Pelodiscus sinensis: one gene and its partner. The protein of the gene in region 1 binds, or shares a complex with, the protein of each later gene. Links are inferred from orthologs where the notes say so. Each region holds a gene or a part of one and is shown on either strand. Other genes may lie near its edges. The genes, in order: SLC9A1 and calcineurin B homologous protein 2-like.

The links.
Region 2: the proteins of SLC9A1 (region 1) and calcineurin B homologous protein 2-like are in contact, whole or in part, in a crystal structure (PDB 2BEC), measured with the Homo sapiens proteins. The link is inferred for Pelodiscus sinensis from reciprocal best matches to the Homo sapiens genes SLC9A1 and CHP2. Residues at the interface, in NP_003038.2 of Homo sapiens: Ser517, Ile518, Asn519, Glu520, Ile522, His523, Thr524, Gln525, Phe526, Leu527, Asp528, His529, Leu530, Leu531, Thr532, Gly533, Ile534, Glu535, Asp536, Ile537, Cys538, Gly539, His540; in NP_071380.1 of Homo sapiens: Arg30, Arg34, Leu38, Leu51, Ile54, Ala56, Leu57, Asn60, Pro61, Leu62, Ile66, Phe70, Phe83, Leu87, Phe90, Tyr118, Ala119, Leu122, Tyr123, Met136, Val139, Leu140, Met143, Ile156, Arg159, Thr160, Glu163, Ala164, Phe177, Ser180.

The regions. Positions count from the first base shown.
Region 1 is NC_134735.1:11,968,345-11,979,923, reverse strand, and holds the start of SLC9A1 (sodium/hydrogen exchanger 1), read left to right. Parts: upstream 1-6,287; 5' UTR 6,288-7,039; coding exon 7,040-7,391; intron 7,392-11,579. UniProt on the Homo sapiens protein: Electroneutral Na(+) /H(+) antiporter that extrudes Na(+) in exchange for external protons driven by the inward sodium ion chemical gradient, protecting cells from acidification that occurs from metabolism.
Region 2 is NW_027465849.1:4,866,584-4,878,583, forward strand, and holds the start of calcineurin B homologous protein 2-like, read left to right. Parts: upstream 1-6,756; 5' UTR 6,757-6,869; coding exon 6,870-6,936; intron 6,937-8,679; coding exon 8,680-8,752; intron 8,753-9,873; coding exon 9,874-9,954; intron 9,955-10,801; coding exon 10,802-10,926; intron 10,927-11,363; coding exon 11,364-11,425; intron 11,426-11,629; coding exon 11,630-11,752; intron 11,753-12,000. UniProt on the Homo sapiens protein: Functions as an integral cofactor in cell pH regulation by controlling plasma membrane-type Na(+)/H(+) exchange activity.

The DNA of each region.
Region 1 (11,579 bases):
CTTTCTTGCTGATGAATTTGCTTGTCTAGAATGTATTCAAGCAGAAGTAAGATGTTAGCACATCTGGTTGTTCCTGTTCAGACTCGTGATTCATTTGAACAGTTCTCCTCTTTCTAGTCATAGATTAGTCAGGTTTATTCTTTGTTGGTTCTCTTGAGTAACTCAAGACCGTTAGTCCTCCCACTCTGGAGTAAGGATCTGTTGAGCAACGTATTCTTCAGTGATACTCAGTTCCTCCTTGCCCAGTGTTCATCTCTCCTCTTGTCTTCAGTCTCAACAGCAGCACATTATGCTGGGAGGAAATTTAAAACAAAGACGATTCAGGTAAAATCCAAGGTCCTCAATCTGCTATGCATGGGTCTCTGGTTTGCTTCAGTGGGAGTGTTGCAATCTGAGGATTTGCTTTATTCCCAGAGTATGTGAGTGCCTTTAAGCTTAGTATCTAAGGTGCCACAGGACTACTCATTGCTTTTAAAGTTACAGACTAACCCAGGTACCCCCTAAGACTTTTTACCGTGCAAGGGACTTCATTTAGCCGTTTGAATTGGAAATCCATCAACTTTATAGAGAAATGTGGACAGATACAAACAAAAATCATATTCCTCTACAAGTGCAAAGTAATGAACATCATACCCAATGGACTGAAAGAGAAAAATCCATTATCATCCACATACTACATGGACTACAGTGAGAGATTATGCCACACACTCAAAGAAACTGAAGAACCACCCAATCAGCATCCTATACAACAAACAGGAGAAAATCAAAATGTGGCAGTGTTTCAAAGTGGCAGTGCCGCATGGAGCCCGGGGACAGTGCCCAGCTGATCCCAGGCTCCACGTGATGCTGCTGCTTTGAAATGCCATGAGGAGCCTGGTGCTGGGCTCCCCGTCGCATTTAAGGTGGCAGCACTGCACAGAGCAGCTGACCCTGGGCTCCGTGTAGCGCTGCTGCTTTGGAGTATCCCCGCTTCTCCCCCCCTTGCTGCCTCGATCTGATAGAGGCAGCAAGGTGTGGGGGAAGCGACTATACGCTGCCCCCAACTTGCGATGCGATTGGTTCCGGGAATAGCGTTGCAAGTTGGGGGTGTTGTAACTCGAGCCCACATTTACGAAAGGTGTCATACGCCATCGTAATTGCGGGGCCAAGGATGTAAATCGTGGGATTTTGGCCCCTTCCACACTTACAGAAAAGGTCATAAGTGCGGGGGATCGTAAATCAGGCCGTCATAAAGCGGGGGTCTCCTGTAGTCGACTATCCTGTCAACTATCTGATAAGCATTTTCTTATCTAGAGACTTTCATAAAAAAAACAAGTTTCCACACAAACTTCCATGTGGCTGGACTTTACAAAAACTAGACAAGCCACTTACAATGCTCATTCCACTTCCCTACAGAAGAAAAAGGCCAATAAACTATCTAAATTCCTACACGCCACAGGGTACTACTACTCCGGTACCCTCAACTCACCTAACATTGTTAATCCATCCAACCACACACTGAGCCGGGCAGAAGAGTCTGTGGTATCTTGGGGACTCTCTGCCTCACCACCCCCACAAACATGATACAGTTCTGCAGTGACCTGGAAGCCTATTTTCGCTGACTCTGACTAGGGATGCTAAATTTCAATTAATTAACTGATTGAATAGTCGATGGGATTTCCATTGACTTTTCGTCGATAAGGGTGCCTCCGTCTTTCAACGGTAGCAAGAACCCTGCTGGGGCTCTTGTGCAGTTCAAAAGCAGAATTGCAGCAGAACCAGTGTGAGTGGAGATTACTTCATTCCCCACTCACACTGTTTCCTGCTGTGCCTCTACCTCCCCTGTTCCCTGCGGAGACAGTGCTGGGGGAAACCAGCTTTTAAGCCGGCTCCCCCCAGCACCGGCTCCTGCTCCCTTCCCTCACTGCCTCTCTCTGACAGAGGCAGCAAGGAGGGGAAGCAACTAGTCACATCACTAGTTGACTATCCGGTAAGCTTACACTTATGGGATAGTCAACTAGTCACTTACATCCCTACCTCTGACTGAAGGAATATTTCCAACACATCACTGAACATTGCATTGACCCACAGGATCCCTTCTACGAACCCTACATGAAGATTTCTACATGGAAGATGGTTGAAATGACATTCTGGACTTCTACACTGATTGCTGCCACAAACGTGCACAGCATTGTGAACAAACAACATCACATGACACACAACGTCAGCTATGCTGGACGCAATGCTCTCCGTGGCCTCAAAAATAACTCTGACATTATAATCAAGGAGGCTGACGGGGGCGGTGGGGAAGAGGGGACTGTAGTCATCATGACAAAGTCAGATTTCAAACAGGAGGTTGCCAGACAACTTGCCCACACCACATTCTACGGGCTTCTTTCTTTTGATCCCTCTGAGGAATCTCAAAAGAAACTATACCATCTGCTCAAGAAACTCCCTGCTACTGCTCAGGACCAAATCTACACAAACACCCTCCCAGAGCCCCAACCAGGGGTATTTTCTCTACTTCCCAAGATCCATAAACCTGGAAATCCCGGATGTACCATCATCTCAGGCATTGGCACCATTACTGCAGGATTATCCAGCTATGTTGACTCTCTCCTCAGACTCTATGCTACCAGCACTCCTAGCTATCTTCGAGACACCACTGACTGTCTGAGGAAACGACAGAGCATCAGTAATCTTCCTGAAAATATTATCCTGGCCCCCATCAATGTAGAAGCTCTTTACACCAACATTTCACATGAGGGTGGGCTACAAACGGTCAGGAACATGATCCTCGATGATGCCACAGCACACCTGGCAGCTGAGCTATGTGGCTTTGTCCTCACCCACAACTATTTCCGATTTGGGGACAATTTATACCTTCAAGTCAGTGGCACTGCTAAGGGTACACACAATATGCCAACATCTTTATGGCTGGCCTAGAACAACATTTCCTCAGCTAGCACCCTTCCTCTACTTACACTACATTGATGGTATCTTCATCATATGGACCCACAGGAAGGAGACACTTGAAGGGATTTCAACAATTTCCACCCCACTATTGACTTCAGCCTGGACCAGTCCTCACAAGAGATCCACTTCCTTGACACTACAGTACACATAAATGCTGGTCACATAAACCTCTGCTGGAAACCTACTGACTATTGTTCTTACCTACATGCTTCTAGCTTCCATCCAGGTCATATCACACGATCAGTTGTCTACAGCCAAGCCCTAAAATACAACCAGATTTGCTCTAAATCCCACAGAGACAAACATCTATATGATCTTTATCGAGCATTCTTAAAGCTTAAATATCCACCCGGGGAAGTGAGGAAACAGATTGACAGAGCCAGACAAGTACCTGGAAGTCACCTACTTCAGACCCAATAAGGAAATTAACAGAACATCTCTGGTCATCACCTACAGCCCCCAGTTTAAACCCCTCCAGTGCACGAATGGCAATCTAAGGATGTTAAATTGCACTTACTGACTAGTCGAGTAGTTGATGGAATTTCCATTGACTATTTGATTAGTCAATAGGCACTTCTGCATTCCTCCTTGGAAATGTACAAGAGCCCCTACTGACTCTGGGCTGCACATGACGTGCCAGCTTTGAAATGCACAAGAGTCCCCAGCGGGGTTCTTGTGCATTTCAAAGCTGCACAGCATGGAGCTTGCTCACCCTGGGCTCCATGCTGTGCTGCCGATTTGAAATGCGGTACGAAGCCCGAGTTCAGCTCCGTGGCATTTCAGTGGAACCTGGGCATTTCAGTGGAACCTGGGATTTCAGTGGAACCTGGGATCAGCTGGGGAGTCCCCAGCTCCACAGTGCCACCTTGAAACGCCGCCTTGGCATTTCAAAGGGGCAATGCCACACAGCTGAGCCTGGGCTCAGCTGCACACGGCTGCCCCTTTGAAGAAACCCTTTCTTCCTCCTTTGCTGCCTCTATCTGATAGAGGCAGCAAGGTGGGGAAGTGACTAGTCTACTCAACTATTCAATAAGCTTTTGCTTATTGGATAGTTGACTAGCCTGTCACATCCTTCTGACAATCTACAACCTATCTTGGGAAAATAATCCCTTGCTCTCTCAGATCTTGGGAGACAAGGTAATCCTCTCCTACAGACAATCTCCTGCTACCTGAAGCAAATACTTACGAGCAGTCACACACCACACCTCAGATACATTCACCCAGGAGCCTACCCCGCAACAAACCCCACTGCCAACTCTGTCCACATATCTATACAAGGAACATCATCACAACACCTAACCATATCACGGCTCATACAACTGCACATCCATAAATATGATGTATGTCATCAAGGACCAGCCATGCCCGTCTGCCATGTATATTGGCCAAACCAGACAGTCTCTGCGACAAAGGATAAATGGACACAAATAAGACATCAGGAATGTAGGGGAACATTATAAGCCTGGACATTCAATCATGGATTTACAAGTAGCCGTTCTTCTACAAAGGAATTGTACCACCCATTTGCAGAGAGAGTCTGCTGAACTGGAATTCATTTACAAATCTGACATTGTCAACCTGGCTTGAATAAAGATCTTAATTGGTTAATGCACTATAAAGCCAGTTTCCCCTGCCTTTGATATTTGCATTTTCACATCTAAAGCTATGAATGGGCCACATTTAGTCTACTTAATTAGCTTCATTAACACAGGCCCTACAATTGACAGGTAACTACTTTTGCTGTTATTATCTTGTATTCTGTTATTTCCACTCCAAGTCATCTGATGAAGTGGGTTTTACCCACAAAAGCTCATGATCCTATATATTTTTGTTAGTCTCTAAGGGTATGTCTACACTACCCCCCTAGTTCGAACTAGGGGGGTAATGTATGCATACCGAACTTGCTAATGAAGCCCGGGATTTGAATTTCCCGGGCTTCATTAGCATAAAGCCAGCGCCGCCATTTTTAAAAGCCGGCTAGTGCGAACCCCGTGCCGCGCGGCTACACGCGGCACGGACTAGATAGTGGAACGAGGCGTACAGATAGTTCGGATTAGGAAGCCTAATCCGAACTATCTAGTCCGTGCCGCGTGTAGCCGCGCGGCACGGGGTTCGCACTAGCCGGCTTTTAAAAATGGCGGCGCCGGCTTTATGCTAATGAAGCCCGGGAAATTCAAATCCCGGGCTTCATTAGCAAGTTCGGTATGCATACATTACCCCCCTAGTTCAAACTAGGGGGGTAGTGTAGACATACCCTAAGTTGCCACAGGACTAGTCATTGTTTTTAAAAATTATAATGTTTATCCTACCACCCCCTCGTGAAGGATGGACATATTCTCCCCATTTTACATTTAGCAAATAAATGTGTGTATTTTGCCACTAAAACAATACAAAAGAGTGGAGTAAGCTCAATGGCAGAGCCAGGAATAAAGTTCACATCAGCTGACTCATGTTACTCCCATGGTTTTATTTTACAGGGCAATATTTCTGGTACTCTTTGACGGGAATTTACAACCAAGAACCAGATTTGTAAATGTATTTAGGTGCCTAAATATACAGATAAGCACCAAGTGGGAGTTTACAAAAGGACCTAAGCATCTAACTCCAATGGGAGTCAGGTGCTTTTGTAAATCCTTGTAGGATTTACAAAAGCACCTGAGTCTTTAAGCGCCTAAATACATCTTTTTAAAAATCTGGTCCCAAGAAGCTGTGTAGGTCTTAAAGTTTGGCCATGTCTGTATTGGCTGCATTTTTGGTAGTAAATCTCTCTTCTACCGGTACACATGCATAAAAACTAAATTAAAACAGAGTCTATATTCCCTGGGTTGGCTTTGCTTTCACAACGTCCAGGGTTCCTGGGTGTGCTTTGCTGCATGAATTGCCTGGCCGAGTTTATTTTATGTACATGCTGGAACTTGACTTCCAGGGAGCTTGCGCTGCGCAAACAAGTTGTTTGAATGAGACCTGGTCTAAGCTCCTGTCTGTTTTATGTTATCTGTCTGTCTCTCTAGCGGAGCGCTCCTAACCGCGGCTCCCCTCCCTCCTCCGGCTCCATTAATGACCCTACAGCAGTTTTCCTAAGAGTTGGATTTTGTCCCACGGCCCTTTGCTACAAACTCCTCCCCTCTCGCACTGCTGCTCAGGGGCTGCTACCACCTACTCCTCAGAGAGGTGGCCGCGTTCCGCACAGAGGGGGGCGCTCTCCCGCACCGAACGCTGCGCCTCCCGGCCCGTCCCTTGCGAGCGGGGCCGGGCCGGCAAAAGCGGCCCGGGGAGCGCGCGCGCACTGGATGCGGGAGGGGCCCCAAGAAACCTGCGCGCCACGTGGGTCGGGTTAGGGCCGGGCCAGCCGCGGGCCCGGCTGCGGGACCCTGTGCAGTGCTGCTCCCGGCCGGTGGGTGCTGCTGTGGCTGCGGTGGAGCCTCGGCCGCTGCCTGCCTCTCCCCGCGCCCTTGGCTCGGCGGCTATAAGGCTGGGAGCCGGCCGGGCAGGGGGCTCAGTGAGCGCGGCTGGAAGAGCAGAGCTGCGCGGCGGCGCTCCCTGGCACCCTCCGCGGAGCGGGACGAGCCCCCCTGCCCGCAGCAGCGGGGAGCCCCGGGGCGGGCCGCCAGCCCTCCCCTGCCGGAGGGAGGAACCTGGGCGAGCCCTTCCCCAGCCAAGGGGAACCGGCTTTTCCGGGCTGCACCCTGCGTGTCTGCAGCGGGGCGGCTCCAGCTGTCTCCTCCCCCCGCCAGTCCTTTGCTTCTGCACCTTCCCTCGATTGGCCGGGGGCTGCTGCTGCACCTTGGGGCCCCCGCCCTGCCCGCGCCGGGGCGGCTGCTGCTGCGCCCTCTCGCCGCTTTCCTGAGCCTGGCGGGGAGGGTGCCGTGCCCGTGGTTCCGCAGGGTTCTCGCTTTCCTGCCCGCCGGCTCGGTTCTGGTCTTATGGGCTCTTTTTTAAAATCCTCGCCTGGGGGGGAAGCGAGCGCTGCATGCGTGTGGCCCGGTCCCCTCCTCCCTTCCCGTCCCCTCTGCAGCGGCGCCTTTGCGCTGCCCATGACGCGCTGTGGAACAGGCTGCCTCTGAGCTAGCGGGGCCCGGGAAAGATGCAGGCGAGGCGCGGCCGCCGTGTCCCTTCCCTCCGCGCTTTGCCCTTCCTGTTCATTGTGGCAGCTCTCCTGGGTCTGCTGCCCTTGCTTCACAGCCATGGCTTGCAGCACATGCTGACCTCCGAGCCGCCCTACCGCGACCCCGCAGTCCTCAGTGCAATTGAGCCCGGGGATGTCACCGCAGCTCCTCCGGACGTCTCCCAAGAGATTCGCCCGCTGACCAACCACTCCAGCCCTGGGCACTCCAAGCCGCGGAAAGCCTTCCCGGTCCTGGGCATTGACTACACCCATGTGCGGATCCCCTTTGAGATCTCCCTTTGGATACTGCTGGCATGCCTCATGAAACTGGGTACGTTGGCACCACTTTTCTGCATGCCGGGTGGGGGCATGGGGCAGTGCCCAAACTTGCAGGTTTAGGAGTTGGGAGGTCTGGGCTCTCTTCCTGATGAGTATCCCATAAGAGTGGACAGATTGTAGGTCCATCTTGACCACCATAGTGCCTTCCAGCAATGGTCAATGCCAGGTGGCCCAGAGAGGATAAACAGAACTGGTACTCATCAAGCGGTGCATCTCCTGTTGCCCATTGCCTGCTTCTGCCAAACAGGCTAGGGACACTCTGTGATCTTGGGGAAGTTACTCAACCTTTCTGGTCTGTAAAATGTAAACACACTTCGCACTTATAAGATTTGTTGGTAAAGCTCTCAGAGATCCTTGGATGAAATATGCTATCAAAGTGGCTTCTGTTGACTGTTCTGTTATAAAGAAATTCATATGACTCTTTTAACAATCATTTGTTCCCTATTATTGCTGATCCTCCCTAAAGAGGAAGGATAGCCCAAGGGTTAGGGCTCTGCCCTGTGACCAGGGAAATTTCTATTCAATTTCTTGACCTACCTGAGAGCTTAAGCAAGCCCCACTTAGTAGCTCTGTGCCTCAGTTTCCCATCTGAACCACATTCCTCTTTCTCAACCATGTTGTAGGATAAATATATTAAGGATTGTGAGGTGTTCAGTACTCGGAATGTTTGGGTGCCTGAGTATCTAGATCCCCTGGAGAGATGACTAACTACCCTGAACGGCTCTGGTGTACTGAGTTTCTGACAGCAGATTTCTTAGGACTTCTTTAGCAGGGTTGATACCTGTTGAATTCTCCGAGAATGTGATGTGAGCACGCAGGGCCCTATCCCATGTCAAAACTGGCTTTGGTGTCACGCAGGGGCCAAACTGGCCACTGGGCAGCTGGTGATGCTTGCTTATACTGTATTATGTGGTAATGCCTAAAGCGCAGATGAAGCATTTGCCTGTTCCTGTTTTGGGATGGTTATGTGAGAGAGGGGGAAGAGATCTGCATTTCCTTTATTCCCTTCCTGATTTTCACCATTAATTATTTTACACTTAACACTGCTACAGGTTCTCGGGAACTCTGTAATGCGCTGACTCTTATGCCAGGCTCCTAGTTAGCCTCTGAGTGCTGACAGAGAGAGTGGTGCTTGCCCTGGGAAACCTCATGATTGGCTCTGACTGTTGTCTAATGTTCTAAAGGTTCTGGTGTAACCGACCGCAAGGCCTTGACTGGTGTAGGAATGTTAAATATCGGTTAATTGAATAGTCGCGTAACCTCATGAATTCTTATCCGTTACTTGACTATTCTGTAGTCCCTCGGGGTGGGGCCAGCAGCCGAGGAATCTCCTTCAACTCCATGCTGCTGCCTTTGTATCAGAGACATCAGCGCAGGGTGCCAGGTGGGAGCTGGTCTGTGAGGGGAGCCAGTTTAAAAACCCGCTCCCTTCATGGACTGGCTGCCTGTCGCCCCGCACGACTGCCTCTGATACAGAGACAGCAGCGCAGGGTGGTAGTAACCCCTGTCGGGGTGGAGGGGTCTGAGCTTCCGGACTTGGCGCAAGCCAGAACAGAGCTGAGTTGCCTGGCCACCTGGCTCCTAACGTACATTAAATGCAGAGCCGCAACAGGCATAGGTCCCAGACCAGTCGAAAGCCAGGACCGAACCAGGCTAATTACTGGCAAGGTGTGGGGAAGGGAAATGTGTGTGGTCTATAGCATTAACCAAGCTTTTGCTTATTGGTTAATCGACTACACTGTTACATCCCTAGACTGGTAATTCAATGTAAACTGCTGATCATGGCCTGAGATTATAGAAATGTCTTTCCCCCAGAAAACTTGGGTCTAGATGGGAGTGTGTGTGTAGATATGAACGTTCTTTAAGACTCTTCTGTAGGCCTCTCAATCTCTTATTTGAAACTAGGAATATAAGTGTTAACATTTAGGCCCAGAAGGCTTCCTTGTGTGTGTCTGTGTAAGATCTAGTGGTAAGAGCTGGTGTTGAGAATTGGAACTCCTGGGTTTTGTCTTTCCCTCTCACTCCGACATTTTCTGGGAAAGTCTTTTCAGGTGACCTTAAATATCCTTAGAAGAAGGTGCCAGACTAATGAGCAACACTGTTGCTTTTCACTTCATAGCCCAGTCCCCCCTCAGCTGGCCCTTAGTCCATATATTAAGTAACTAGAGTAATGGAGTCCAGTTTTTGGGCTGCATTTATCATCTTCCTTAACTCTGTTGGGTGGAGAAATCAGAAACCTCTATGCAGCTGCTGGTAGAAGGGGGTGCTGGTGGTGGTTCTGGCCTTTAGCCTCACAGAACCTGACTTTAATCCAGAGTCACAAATGGCATGCCAGTCACAAAGTGCGCCTGGAGAAACTGGTGTGAAAAGCGCCATGACATGCGGCAGAAATTCCCTGTAAGGAAATGCAACGTGCTGAAGGTGGGAAATGGGGTTAGCGCATTTCTAATTTCCAGTAGGTTTGCTGATTGCCTTCTTTTGTGAGCATCTTCATTTATCAGAGTGATCTACAGTGTCTAGGCAGAGGCTGCAGCACAAAGCAGCTTCTGCTATAGACGTAAAATCCCCTGTAAAATGTTAACTGGCTAAACTATATATTTATCTGGTTAGCTGGCCCACTTTGTCATGCCATGGGTCGGGGGGGGGGGCACTGGAGCAGCCCCCGCCCATGGTGCAGTTAGGCTGGAGTACCGTGGGCAGGGGCTGCTCAGGACAGGCGCCGGTGAACTGGTTACCAGTAAGCCTCACCCAGCATCGTTTTCCTTGTGATATCTTTGTGTGGTGGTTTAATCTGTCCCAAAACAACATTGCAAGCGACGCAGTGTCCTACGTGCTTGGGCTAACGGCCCAATCTTGAGGCACCTGATTCCTTGGAATCTCAGGCACGTGCATAGTGGCTGACCTTGGAGCACTCTTCTGGTGACGTGCTTCAAGGAGCCGCTATCTGGCAAACTTCAGTTACCTGACGGCCTGTGAGAATGTAACCAGCTCTGGAAGTGAGCTCTAGTGTGGAAGTGAGCGCTAGTGTAACACAACCGCACTGGTGGCCAGGATCTCCACCAGCCACGTAGATGGGAATTATTGCTGGCTCGCCAAGTCCTAGCACCTGAAGTTAGGACTGAGGCTGACTTATCTACAGTATATTTGAGAGAGTTTGTCCAACTGTTTGTTCGAGAACTCCTCCCTAAACAAGAGCAAGGACCACTAAATTCCGTATCCAGCTTCCTCGTATCATAACTTAAGGCAAGGTCAGGGTTTGATTGTACCAGGAACATGGGACATTCCCAGAATGGGATTGCGTCTCCTAAAACCATACAGAAAAGAGACAGAATCACCTGGCAGATGAAAGAGGCTGGCTGGGGGGCATGGCCGGCCTCCCTCCCTCCCAGGTGCCATTTAGGGGGGAAGCTGTTCCCCAATTCGTATGGGAACATTGCTGGCTGTTTCCTGTTGTCACTGAGTGAGGAGAAAATGCACAATTTCCTGTATTTCTCACTCCGGCAAGGGGCAGGGAAACCTGGACCTGCCCTAGCCAGGGAGCTTGCTCCTCTCTCGCTGCTGGAGCTGCAATGGTCATGGAGAGTCACTTTTCACATGGCCCCATGCTGCTGTGGAGAGAGAGGGTTAGGATAGTCCCCTCTTCCCAGGGAAACCTGGATACTGAGCCCCCTATTCCCAGCCTCCCTCCCCCCCCCCCCAGAGCAATGATATAAATGAAGAAAAACAAAAGTGAATTGAGTTAAGGACCTGAGCAATGCTGGGTAAATCTTCTAGTTTATTAAAAGGGAATTTTCATAAAATCATAGAATACAAGAATTGGAAGGGATGCTGAGAGGTTGAGTCCAGTCCCTTGCCCTCCTGGCAGGCCCAACCACTCTCTAGATCCGTGTTTCTCAACCAGTGGTGCGAGTACCCTTAGGGGTACTTGAGAGAAGTCTGGGGGGTACGTCAACACAACTGAAAAATTGAATTTTTGTGTTATAGCGCTTTATTATTTGTGTACTTTTTACATCCAAAACTTTCATGGCCCGCCCGGCTATGATAAAGTTGTTTAAGCAAACGTATTGCAATGGTAGAAAATAATTTTGTGTGTCTGAAAACTGTGAGGGTACTTTAGTGTTTCTCAACTTTATTTTAAAAAAAAATCTAGCTCATTCCTGAGAGATGTCTATCCAAGGTG
Region 2 (12,000 bases), on another chromosome or scaffold:
CCCCGGCGCTGCCCGGGACAGGGCAGTTGGCTCCCGGCGCTGGGGTACCTAGAATGTGCGGGGGCGCCGAGGGGACCGTGGCAGCGCCGTGACTGGGGCCTTTGGCTCTGAACCCAGCGTCCTGTCTGGGACCCCTCCTGCCCCACCTGGCCCTTCGCGGCCCCGGCCGGGGTCACCCTACGCTGACCTCGCGTAGCGCGGGGGGAAGCGGCTACGTGGCCCTTTGCAAGCGCCCCCGGCTCCCCACAGACGTGTCACAGCAGGCTCGGGAAGCCGGGCCGCGGGGCAAGGGAGAGACGCTGCTTCCTTCCGCCTGCGAGACCCTCACATCTCAGAACACCTGCCACATGGGGGGGGGGGCTGGGAGCTAGGACGCCCAGGTTCTCTCTGCAGCTCTGGGAGAGGAGAGGGGACTAGTGGTTAGAGCGGGAGGGGGAGGGGGCTGGGTGCCTGGATTCCTATGTTCTCTCTGCAGCTCTGGGAGAGGAGTGGGGACTAGTGGTTAGAGCGGGGGGGGAGCTGGGTGCCTGGACTCCTATGTTCTCTCTGCAGCTCTGGGAGAGGGGTGGGGACTAGTGGTTAGAGCAGGGGGCTGGGAGCCAGGACTCCTGGGTTCTCTCTGCAGCTCTGGGAGAGGAGAGGGGACTAGTGGTTAGAGCGGGGGGGTTGGGCGCCTGGACTCCTATGTTCTCTCTGCAGCTCTGGGAGAGGAGAGGGGACTAGTGGTTAGAGCAGGGGGCTGGGAGCCAGGACTCCTGGGTTCTCTCTGCAGCTCTGGGAGAGGAGTGGGGACTAGTGGTTAGAGCGGGGGAGGGGTTGGGCGCCTGGACTCCTATGTTCTCTCTGCAGCTCTGGGATTGGAGAGGGGACTAGTGGTTAGAGCAGGGGGCTGGGAGCCAGGACTCCTGGGTTCTCTCTGCAGCTCTGGGAGAGGAGAGGGGACTAGTGGTTAGAGCAGGGGGCTGGGAGCCAGGACTCCTATGTTCTCTCTGCAGCTCTGGGAGAGGAGAGGGGACTAGTGGTTAGAGCAGGGGGCTGGGAGCCAGGACTCCTATGTTCTCTCTGCAGCTCTGGGATTGGAGAGGGGACTAGAGGTTAGAGCAGGGGGCTGGGAGCCAGGACTCCTGGGTTCTCTCTGCAGCTCTGGGATTGGAGAGGGGACTAGAGGTTAGAGCAGGGGGCTGGGAGCCAGGACTCCTGGGTTCTCTCTGCAGCTCTGGGATTGGAGAGGGGACTAGAGGTTAGAGCAGGGGGCTGGGAGCCAGGACTCCTGGGTTCTCTCTGCAGCTCTGGGATTGGAGAGGGGACTAGTGGTTAGAGCAGGGGGCTGGGAGCCAGGACTCCTGGGTTCTCTCTGCAGCTCTGGGATTGGAGAGGGGACTAGAGGTTAGAGCAGGGGGCTGGGAGCCAGGACTCCTGGGTTCTCTCTGCAGCTCTGGGATTGGAGAGGGGACTAGAGGTTAGAGCAGGGGGCTGGGAGCCAGGACTCCTGGGTTCTCTCTGCAGCTCTGGGATTGGAGAGGGGACTAGAGGTTAGAGCAGGGGGCTGGGAGCCAGGACTCCTGGGTTCTCTCTGCAGCTCTGGGATTGGAGAGGGGACTAGTGGTTAGAGCAGGGGGCTGGGAGCCAGGACTCCTGGGTTCTCTCTGCAGCTCTGGGATTGGAGAGGGGACTAGAGGTTAGAGCAGGGGGCTGGGAGCCAGGACTCCTGGGTTCTCTCTGCAGCTCTGGCAGCCATACAAGGGTCCCATGGTTGGAGCGGGGGTGGGGTTAAGGCTTTTTAAAATGGAATAACCCACCAACCCTAACCCGGCTCAGAGTCAAGGGCAGGGAGGGAGACGGACGGGGGGGGGGGGCTTGACCTGCCCAGCAAGGTGCTTCCCCAAGTCCCCTGCCCATGTCCTGCCTTCACCTGCTGGGATCCTGCATGCAGAGAAACCATGGCCTGAGAACAGGACTGTTCCTCTGACCTGGGGGGCGGGGGGTGGGGTGAGTCTGCCGGGTATGGGGGGCTGGTTCATCAGGTGATTGCAGGGCTGGGGTCTCCCCCACCCCAGCCGTGGGCAAGTCCCTGAGCTCCAGGTAGCCTTTGCAGCTATGGGTTAGGGGCAGAGGGGGTAGAAATCGTTCCTGGCTGGGGGGGCAGACGCGCGGACACCCGGGCACTATGTGCACCTCGTGAAGGGGGGGCATGGGGCTAGTGGTTAGAGCAGGGGAGGCTGGGGCTCCCAGCTTTGGGAGGGGAGTAGGTGGTAGTGGTTAGAGCAGGGGAGGCTGGGGCTCCCAGCTTTGGGAGGGGAGTAGGGGGTAGTGGTTAGAGCAGGAGCCGTGCCTGAGCCCGATGTGTTCTGCCCAGCGCTGGGGCTGGGGCTGGTGATGCCCAAATTCCCCTGGTCCCTTCCTTGAAGCGCCGTGTAGCTTGATTGCCCCGAGCCTCTTGTTTAGGTTTCCTACCCCCCGGGAGCCAAGTGTCCTCACCTCCCTGACCCCAAACAAGCCAGTGTTAATGGGGAAGCCGTGGGGAAGCAGCAGCTGTGAGGGGCACAGAGTTTTGGCCCCCTGGGCAGCGCTTTACAGCCAGCAGCTGTCAACACACGGCTAGGCCGCTTCCCCCCAGCGGGCCCAGGGTCAGCTCCGCACAGGGTCACGGCGGGAGGGAGGGGGACCGGGCCTCACTTGGGGACAGCTGTGCTCTGAGGGGCGGGGGCCGAGGCAGGACGCCTGGGTTCCAATCCAGCTTGGGGGGCGGGGAGTCTAGTGGTTAGAGCCACGGGGGCTCAGGACTCCTAGGTTCTAGTCCCGGGTCTGGAGGAGGAGAGCGAGTGTGTGTGTTCAACACACCTCTCTGCTGCTTGGCCTCAGCACTATTCCACTGTGTGTCCTAGACCCCACACAGCACTACGTGAGAGCCGGCAGTGTCCGGCCTCGGAGGAGGAAGTGGCTGAGTTCTGCTGCCGTGAGTGGGGGTTATGGGCAGGGGGGAGGGAGTCCGCCCCGGGCACCGCGCCAGGTGTGAGGGACCAAAACAAGCCGCTCGAGGCACCGAGACGCGTAAACTTCCTGGCCGCCCGGCTGCTGAGCAAAACAGGATGCAGGCGGGAGCAACACCGGCCCGTGGGGAGAGATGGGCGCCCCCTTGCTGCCTACCACTGCCCTCGCCGGGGCTCTGCAAGTCGACGGGGCAGCACGTGGGCAGAGCTGGCTACGGGCAGCCATTCGCTGTGATGCCCGGTGAGAAGAGGCAGGGGAGGACGAGTATTAAATAGCAAAAGGGACATTGTAAAGGTGGAATTACAGGGGCGTAGGATCACTCAGGCCCTTGCAGCCTGGACACACAGAGCCATAGTAAACACCCTCCCCACGACCTTAACTCTGCCCTTGGGCCCAGTGGGGCCCTGCTACTGAACGCAGCTGCCTGCGCTGACCGGCACAGGGACCACGTGCTCTCAGCCTGGCGCTTCTCAGCCCCTGCCAGGACTGAGGGGCCGTTTGGGCCCCCTTTGCATGCCTGAGTCATGCGCATGAGCAGCTGGTCAGTCTCGGGCCCAATGCAGCCGGGTCTGGAGGACTAGAACCCACCCCACCCGCCCGGACAGCTGGGAGCAGCCCGCTACACCCGGGGGCCCCGAGCGGCAGGGCCCAGGCCCAAAAGGCAGCCCCACCCCACGGCTGCAGGAAGCTGTCGGCACCACCTGGCCTGTTGTTGCCACGGCCCTGGCTTCGGGCTCAGGGGCTGTTCCCGTCTTGTGCCCTGGCCAGAGACCTGACCCCTGCTCTCTGGTTTCAGCTCTGACCTCAGACCCGACGCCTGTTCCTACCCACTAGGCCACGCTACTCACCCCTAACAGTGACATTTTCCCACCTGCCCTTGTGCCAGTCCTGACATTACCACCTAGACTTGGTGGGGCGGGTTTCCTGGGCCGCCAGTCCGTCACCGGCCACCTCATGCCCCGGGGGTCGGCGTGGCCAGCACCACCAGGCAAGAGGAGGAGGTGGGCAGACCCCCCAGAGGGTCGGGTTGTCTTCAGCCCCCCCATCCCCGACCTGGAGCCTAGGGTCGGGTTGCCAGGCTCTGCTATAGATTCCCTGCCCAAGGAGCTGGCATCCCAGGGGGCACTTGGCTGCTGGGCTGCCCCAGCCCCGGGCAGCAGAGCCAGGGCCGGGGCCTGGGAGTAGCAGGACGTTAGCTGCTGGATGCAGATTGGGGGTTTTTATGACCCTCCTGTCGTGCAGTTTCACACTGGGGAAAGTGACTAGCTTGCTGTGTCTGTAGAGGGGGATCCCTTGGGTGTCCCCAAAGTGGGCATGGCTGCGGGGGACCCGCCACCCCAATCTTGCAACCCCCCCAATGGCTCAGCTCCGCCCCCTGCTGGCCAGCCATCGCTCAGGGCGCAAGGGGCTTGCAAGAGCTCCCTGTTCTGTTCTGCGTCTGCTTCCCCCTGGCTCCGCGTAGCAACCTGTCCAGGCGCCCAGCATCCCTCCGGGATGGGGACAGACATACGGACATAGAACAGTGCTAGGGTCCCTGGGGGGCGGGGAGTCTAGTGGTTAGAGCAGGGATGGCTCCTGGATTCTGTCTCCAGGTCTGGAGCAGGAGAGTGGGATCTAGTGGTTAGAGCGGGAGTGGAGCTGAGAGTCAGGACTCTGGGCTGGGAAGCTCAACCCTCCCAATACCCCTGCCCCACAGCCACCTTAGGAAGCAGGGGGAGAAGGAGGGGGAGGGGGGCATTGGGTCTCCATGGCCCACAGTCAGTTCTCTTAGGGGGGGGGTCACTGCCCGTCCAGGCCAGTGGTGACAACTGGCCGTGTGCAGGGGCAGCTGAGACCTGCCCAGCTCGTCGCATGCATGGCCCGTCCGCCACCCATCGACCAACCAGCCGCGTCCCAGCCTCTCTGCAGGTCCCCTGCTTCCGCCCTCCCCCACTCCTGCCATCCCCTCCCCCCAACCGGCACCCTCTGAGCTTGGCTTTGCGGAGCCAGAGAAACCCCTTCATCCCTGGCCTCACCCCTCAGCCCCCTCCCGGGTGAGCAAATGAGCGCCTGTGCCTTTAAGACACCCTCCCGCCCCACCCCCAGCAAAGTTAATCAGCTGATGGGGCTATTAAAAGCAGGTGCAAAGGGGCATCTCCTGGAGAGGCGAGGTGGGGGGAGGGGAGGTCTTGGTCTTAGTTTAAAGGGGCGGGTCAGTGGGCTCCCAGGGTTCTGTATCCTGGACTGTAAGGGGTCCTTTTGAGCACCCCCCCTTGCAGAGCTGGACACCCTGCCTGGCTCTCTGCACCCCTGGGAGTGGGGGGGGGTCTCCCTATTGCCCACGGAGACTCATCCTGCTTCCCTGCCTGACCCGCTGGCCAGGGCGATGGGGGTGGGCCTGCCAGGGCGATGGGGGTGGGCCCGCCAGGGCGATGGGAGTGGGCCCAAGGCCGAGCTGGGTGGAAGGGGCTCTGTGTCTCCCGCCTGCGTCCTGCTGATGCCCTTGGGCATGTCTGTGCCCGGCTTCCCCTCTGGAGCCTTGGTGTCAGCATGTCGCAGAAACTGGGGGGGCCAGAGGAGTGAGACACGGGCCCTTCCCCTCTAGGAGATACTGGATCCGGTCTGGCCCCACAGAAGGCGAGGGGCTGGCTCCAGAGGGTCAGGAATGGGATCCAGGGCTCCCCCCGGCCAGGGGTGCCAGTGCTGCTCTAGCCCCACACGGCAGGCTGGCGGCTGACGCGATGGGGGGCAGGGAATGGGTTATGGGGCCTCTCCCCCTCCGTGGGCTGGAGGAGGCAGTGACTGTGGGCTCAGGCCCCAGAGCTGGGCCCTAGATCCTGAGATGGGGACTGTCTGGGTCAGGCCAGGGCCAGCTGGGGGTCAGACACCAGACACCTGAGCCTCCCCTAAATCCACGTGACTCCTGCAATCCGGCAGCACCCTCTGGTGGCAGATGGCTGGGACGGCCGCTCTGAGTGCCTTGGTGGTGATTTTGGGGGGTGACCCGACCCTCGGGCTGGGCACCTGGGGCGGGGGTGGGGACAGAGCTGGGGGGAGGGACTGCAGTAAGAAAAGGGAAACTGAGGCTCCACCGCTTCCTGCCGTTGTATCAATATTGATCTGGCCCTCCTTAAATTCCTGCTTTTTCTTGGATTCTGCTTCCTTATCACCCTTCACCTGCCATAAAATGTGACTCAGCATGGGAGCTTGGCTGTCAAACAGCAGCTGTGCCGCACCCCAGAGACAGCTGCAGCTCAGCTCAGGGTGAAGATCTCTGTACAAACAACCGCCCTGCCCTGCCCTAGGGGCATCTACATTTCCACGTGAGGCCAAGGAGCCAGGCCAGGAATGTATAAAAAGCCACCCTGTTTCACTCCAGCGGTGGCTTCATTTCAGCCCTGTGTGATGTGATCCCTTTATAATGCGTTGCTGCTGTGCCCTGCCCCAGAGGTGGGCGCATCTCACCCTGGGTGAGGGATCCCCGTGTAAACAGCCGTCGTGCCCTAACCCAGAGGTGGCTGCACTTCAGGGCTAGGCCGGAGGGCCCAGTATAAACAGTCACGCCCTGCCCCAGTGCGGACAATCAGCCGGTGTGGAAAGGCCTTGGCGTGGGAAATGCTCAGCTCCCCACCCCCCCCCCAACCTGGACACTTTAAAAACAAACAAAGGAGCCACTTCCCTGTTTCCCTATGATTGCCTGGGCGGAGAGAAGGAAAATCCACCTTAAAGGAACCAGCCCAGCTAGTCCAAGGCCCTCCTTTGCCAGGGGTTGATTGGCTGTCCCACCAGTCACTCCAGCTCCCATGTGGGCTGCCAGGAAAAGTTGGATCCAGGGAAAGTTGGCTGGTCCCTGCCCTCGCTCAGTGGGGGGATCCCGGCGAGGCCTGACGGCATGAGAGATGGGCTCTCAGAGCTCCCACCCATCCGCGATCCCCAATCTGGAGCAGATCATGCAGGAGACGGGCTGTAAGGGACCTGCGGGGTGGGGAGGGGGTCGGGCAACCCTAAAGTTGGCAAAGGCAGGAACAAAGGGGGTGGCGGTTGCCCTGGTGCCCCGAGGCTGCAGGCCAGGTGGGGCAGGGCCCCTGCGCTGGACAGGGCTGGGCGGCCTGGTAGCACTGGCCCCAAGGACCTGCCCTGCATGCGGTGGCCTCTGTTTGAAGGGGAGAAGAAATTGTGTGTGTGGTGCTGCCAAAGCACAGGGAGCCCAGACTCCTGGGTTCCCCCCAAACTGGGGGGAGGGAGGGAGGGCTGGGGGGAGTGGCCTCGCACAGGGAGGGTGGGCGCCAGGACTCCTGGGTTCCCCCCAAACTTGGGGGAGGGAGGCAGGGCTGGGGGGAGTGGCCTTGCACAGGGAGGGTGGGCGCCAGGACTCCTGGGTTCCCCCCAAACTGGGGGGAGGCAGGGCTGGGGGGAGTGGCCTCGCGCAGGGAGGGTGGGCGCCAGGACTCCTGGGTTCCCCCCAAACGGGGGAGGCAGGGCTGGGGGGAGTCGGCTAGCGCAGGGAGGCTGGGAGCCAGGACTCTGGCTGCAGAAAGGGTGGGGTTTTGTGATCCCAACAGCGATTGTGGAGTCAGCCAGGGCTCCTGCGTGGCTCTGCTATTGGCCAGCTGTGCAGCCCCACAGCAAGTCACCCAGTAAAAAAAAAAGGGGCCTCAGTTTCCCCCGCCTGGCCTGGCCCCTGGGGACCGTGGCCTGGGTGCTCTGTTGGTGGGTGGAGAGGAGGGGCTGACCAAGCAGACAGGTTCGCTCCCCAGACTGTTCAGGCCCATCCAGTCCCTGGTCCCTAGGGGGCAGGGAATCGCCACCCCGCAGGGTGCTCCGGCCGTTTGCCCCACGACAGCTGGGAGAAGCACCTAATGCCAGATCCACACACCCAGGGAGGCCCCTGGTGGAGAACCCTCAGAGCCCAGGGGTGGGAGCTGGCCCCACAGCGGGACGGAGGAGCCGCCTCCGGGGCCCTGCGACGTACGGGGGGGGGGGGGTGAAGCCTTGAACAGGTGTCCCAGCCAGGCGCTGCAGCAGCCCTGGGGTGTGGCTGGTTCCCGCTCTGGGTGGTCTAGGCTGGGGTTCGAATCCAGCCCGGCTCGTGGGGCGTGAAAGCCGACTTGAGGGGCAGCGCTCGCGCTAGGAGCCTAGTGTGACAGGTGCCTGTGGCTGGGCTAATAGGTCCCCCAGCTGTAGGGGGGCGGAGCCAGAACTCCTGGGCTCTGTCTTCCACTCTGGAAGAAGAGTCTAATGGTTAGAGCAGGACTCCTGGGTTCTACCCCTGGATCAGGGAGGGGAAGGGGATCTCTTGGGTAGAGCTGGGAATTGGGACCCCTGGGTTCTCGTCCCAGCTCTGGTGGAGACTGGGGTCTAGTGGTCAGAGCAAGGGGGGAGTCAGGACTCGTGAGTGCTCTGCCACTGATGGGCGGTGTGTCGCCTTGGGCGAATCACTTCCCAGCCTCGTGCCTCAGTTTCCCCATCTGTGAACGAGCCAAGCCCCTACCCTGTATATAGCGGGGGAGGGGCTTTCAATGGGCCGGCTCTTCCTCGCACTAGGAACCCTGGATCCCCTGCTGTGATTTAAATCTCCTTAAATGTGAACCAGAGGGGGGGAAGGGGGAGGGGTTTAGTCATCGATACCCTAAACGTTCAGCCCCGGGGGCCCTTGCCAGACCTGGGGGAATCGGCGCTCCCGGCTACAGCTCTCGCTCTCGTGTCCAGTTTCGCAGGCCAGCGTCACCCGCCTCTACGCCCGCTTCCAGGCGCTGGACAAGGCGCAGAAAGGCTCCCTCAGGTAGGGGAGCAGGCGTCGGCCGTCCCGGCCTTTGTGGCTGCTTTGACATTCGATCATTTGGGCAGCACCTAGGCCCTGGGTGGGTGGGGCGCCGGGCTACGTCTCTGATGGGCCTGGTGGAACAGACTGGCCCCCACCAGACACAGGGTCAGGTCTGGAGAGCCAGGAGAAGTGATTAGCGGGGGCAGGGAGGGGGGGTGGCGGCTGAAGTGCAGCCGAGATCAGCCACAGCCGGAGAGAAACCCCTGATCCAAGGAGACAGACAAAAGGGTGGGCAGGGAAACTGAGGCACGGGGTGGGGCCCAAGGTCAGAGCCTGGAATAGAACCCCTCACCTCTCCTTGAGCTGCTGCCCCCCAGCAGAGCTCAATCTCTTCTTGCTGCCTCCTGTCCCCCCATTCCCCTGTTTGAGCCCCTCAAGAAGGGGGCTTGGGCCCAGTGGCTCTCTAGGGGCCTGGCTCTCTACTCCCAGGGACCTGCAGGAGGGATGCGCTGGGGAGCTGCAGGCGACAGGCCAGACCCTGGTGCCAACCTGGAGTAATGCCAGGAGTGAGTTGCGGGTGCCCAGGGTCGGGGGCCCATCCCCATGGCCTCGGGTCACTAAGGACCCGCCTCGCTGGTCTGGGGCTGTCTCCCCGGCCATGAAAGGGAAAAGGCGCCGGGTGCGGCTGCTCTCCGCAGGTGTGTGAACCTTGGCACGAGTGCCCAGCGGTGCTCAGCCATGGCGCCCGCCGGGCCCCACGGCGCCCACAGGCTGCACCCAGCGGGACCCTGGAGCACCCGGCCCTGCCCCTTATCGCAGCCCAGCTGGAGTCAACGAACAACCCTCAGACCCTGGTGTCCCTCCTATGGGACGGCTGCCGTGCCCCTGCTCCCGGGATGACTGCGTCTCCCCACTGGGAGAGGGATCCCAGGATTTGCCACCACCTGGCCTCACGCCCGAGGGGGCTGCATCTCAACACTGGAAGGATGCTGCTCCCCAGAGCTGGCTGCATCCCAGCATCAGGTGCAGGATCCTGGTAGAGCTACCGTGCCCCACCCCAGAGGCAGCGTCCACCAGTCTTGGGCCCCTTACGAGTGTCAGCTGGGGCGTGCCACGACCTTTGCCCTGTCTCCCTACAGCAAATACGACCTGCAGGGGATCGGGGCGCTGGCGGTGAACCCCCTGGGGGACCGGATCATCAACGCCTTCTTCAGGGAGGGGTGAGTCGGCGCCACGAGCATCACCCCCCCCCCCCAGACCAAGCAACGGCGGGGGCAGGGAGAGGATGCAGGCTGCAGGGCGTGTCACGCGCCACTGGGGGGCGCCGGCGTTCACAGGCCCCGGAGCACGGCAGGGAACCCGGCAGAGCCTGGATGGTGCAGGGACTGGGCAGAGCAGAACTCCGCAGCGCTGAGTGCACAGTCCTTTGCTTTTTGCTGTAGGGATCCCCCTGTACCAGGCCTTGTGCCCCACCCCAGAGGCTGCTGCATCTCAGCACCAGGCAAGGGCTCCGTGTGCACAAGCCTAGTGCCCCACCCCAGAGGCAGTTGCATCTCAGCACCAGACAAGGGCTCCATGTGTGCACAAGCCTAGTGCCCCACCCCAGAGGCAGTCGCATCTCAGCACCAGACAAGGGCTCCATGTGTGCACAAGCCTAGTGCCCCACCCCAGAGGCAATTGCATCTCAGCACCAGACAAGGGCTCCATGTGTGCACAAGCCTAGTGCCCCACCCCAGAGGCAGTCGCATCTCAGCACCACACAAGGGGTCCATGTGTGCACAAGCCTAGTGCCCCACCCCAGAGGCAGTTGCATCTCAGCACCAGACAAGGGGTCCATGTGTGCACAAGCCTAGTGCCCCACCCCAGAGGCAGTCGCATCTCATCACCAGACAAGGGTTCCCAGTATAAATAATCCCCACGCCCCACCTGAGAGGCGGCTGCTTCTCCCTGGATAATTAACCCCCCGCGCCCTGCCCAAAGGCAGCAGCAGCTCAGCGCTGGGCCCTGCGTTCCCAGCTGTGCTCGGCTGCACCTACCATCAGTTATTAGTGGCGTCTCCCGCTGCAGGGAGGAGTTCACCGATTTCCGAGCCTTCATGCGGGTGCTGGCCCGTTTCCGGCCCGTGGAGGAAGGAAAGTCCAAGGAGACTGGTTACCCGGAGCCCATGAACAGCCGACTCAGCAAGCTGCAGTGTGAGTAACAGGGCAGGCAGGGGGATCCCCGACCCCACTGCTGAGGCAAGTGACCGGGGCCCCTTGGTGACAAGGGGACGAGGCGCCAGATGTGGCATAATGGGGAGGGGAAGGCACCCCTGGCAGCTGGCCAGAGCTCATGTGGGGTGAGGGAAGGGCATGTGAGCAGGGTGTTGGGTGTGGAGAAGTGCGGGGGGCAGTGTGGTGGGGGCACCCAAGGAGCTAACCGACCTGGAGGAATGCAGAGACATGTGGAGGGATGCTGCGGTGGGCACGTGGGGGAATGCTTGGGGTGGAGACAGACGGATCCAGGCAACATATGTAGGGGGGACATGGGAACATGCAGGCTGTAAGGGGCTGCAGGAGGAGGCTGGGGCTGGTGGCAGGTTCATTTCCCTGCTCTGATCCCAGCGCTGACACCAATCCTGGTCGTACAGTTGCTTTTCAGCTCTATGACCAAGATAGTGATGGGAAGATCTCCCGGGCCGAGATGCTGCAGGTACTGTGTGTGCGAGGGGCTGGGGAGCGTGCGGGGCTGGGGGGAGCATGTACACGAGGCTGGAGAGCAAGTGTGCAAGGGGGACGTGTGAGGCTGGTGCTGCCCCCGCCTCCTCCCAAGGGCCCCGGGAGACGGACTCTCTCCTCCCCTCCCTCAGGGGCAGCCTGGGAAGGGGCGGGGCCATCACTGACTCCTCCCCTCCAGGTGCTGCGGCTGATGGTCGGCATCCAGGTGACAGACGAGCAGCTGGCGTGCATTGCCGACCGCACCATCCAGGAGGCCGACCAGGACGGTGACGGCGCCATCTCCTTCGAGGAGTTTGCCACGGTCTGGTGGGGTCAGGGGAGCAGGGTGTAGACTGGGGAGGGTTAGCGGGGGGGTTGATCATCTAGAGGGGAGGGGTGAGGCATATTGGAAGGGTGGGGAGGGTGAAGGATGGATTATTAGGTGCATTACAGTAGCCCTTGGGGCTACAACCAATCAGGGCCCCATCGTGATGGGTGCTACATGGATGCACACACATAGTGAGACACAAAGAGCTCACGGTCTAGTGAGACCATGGAAGGACCATTATC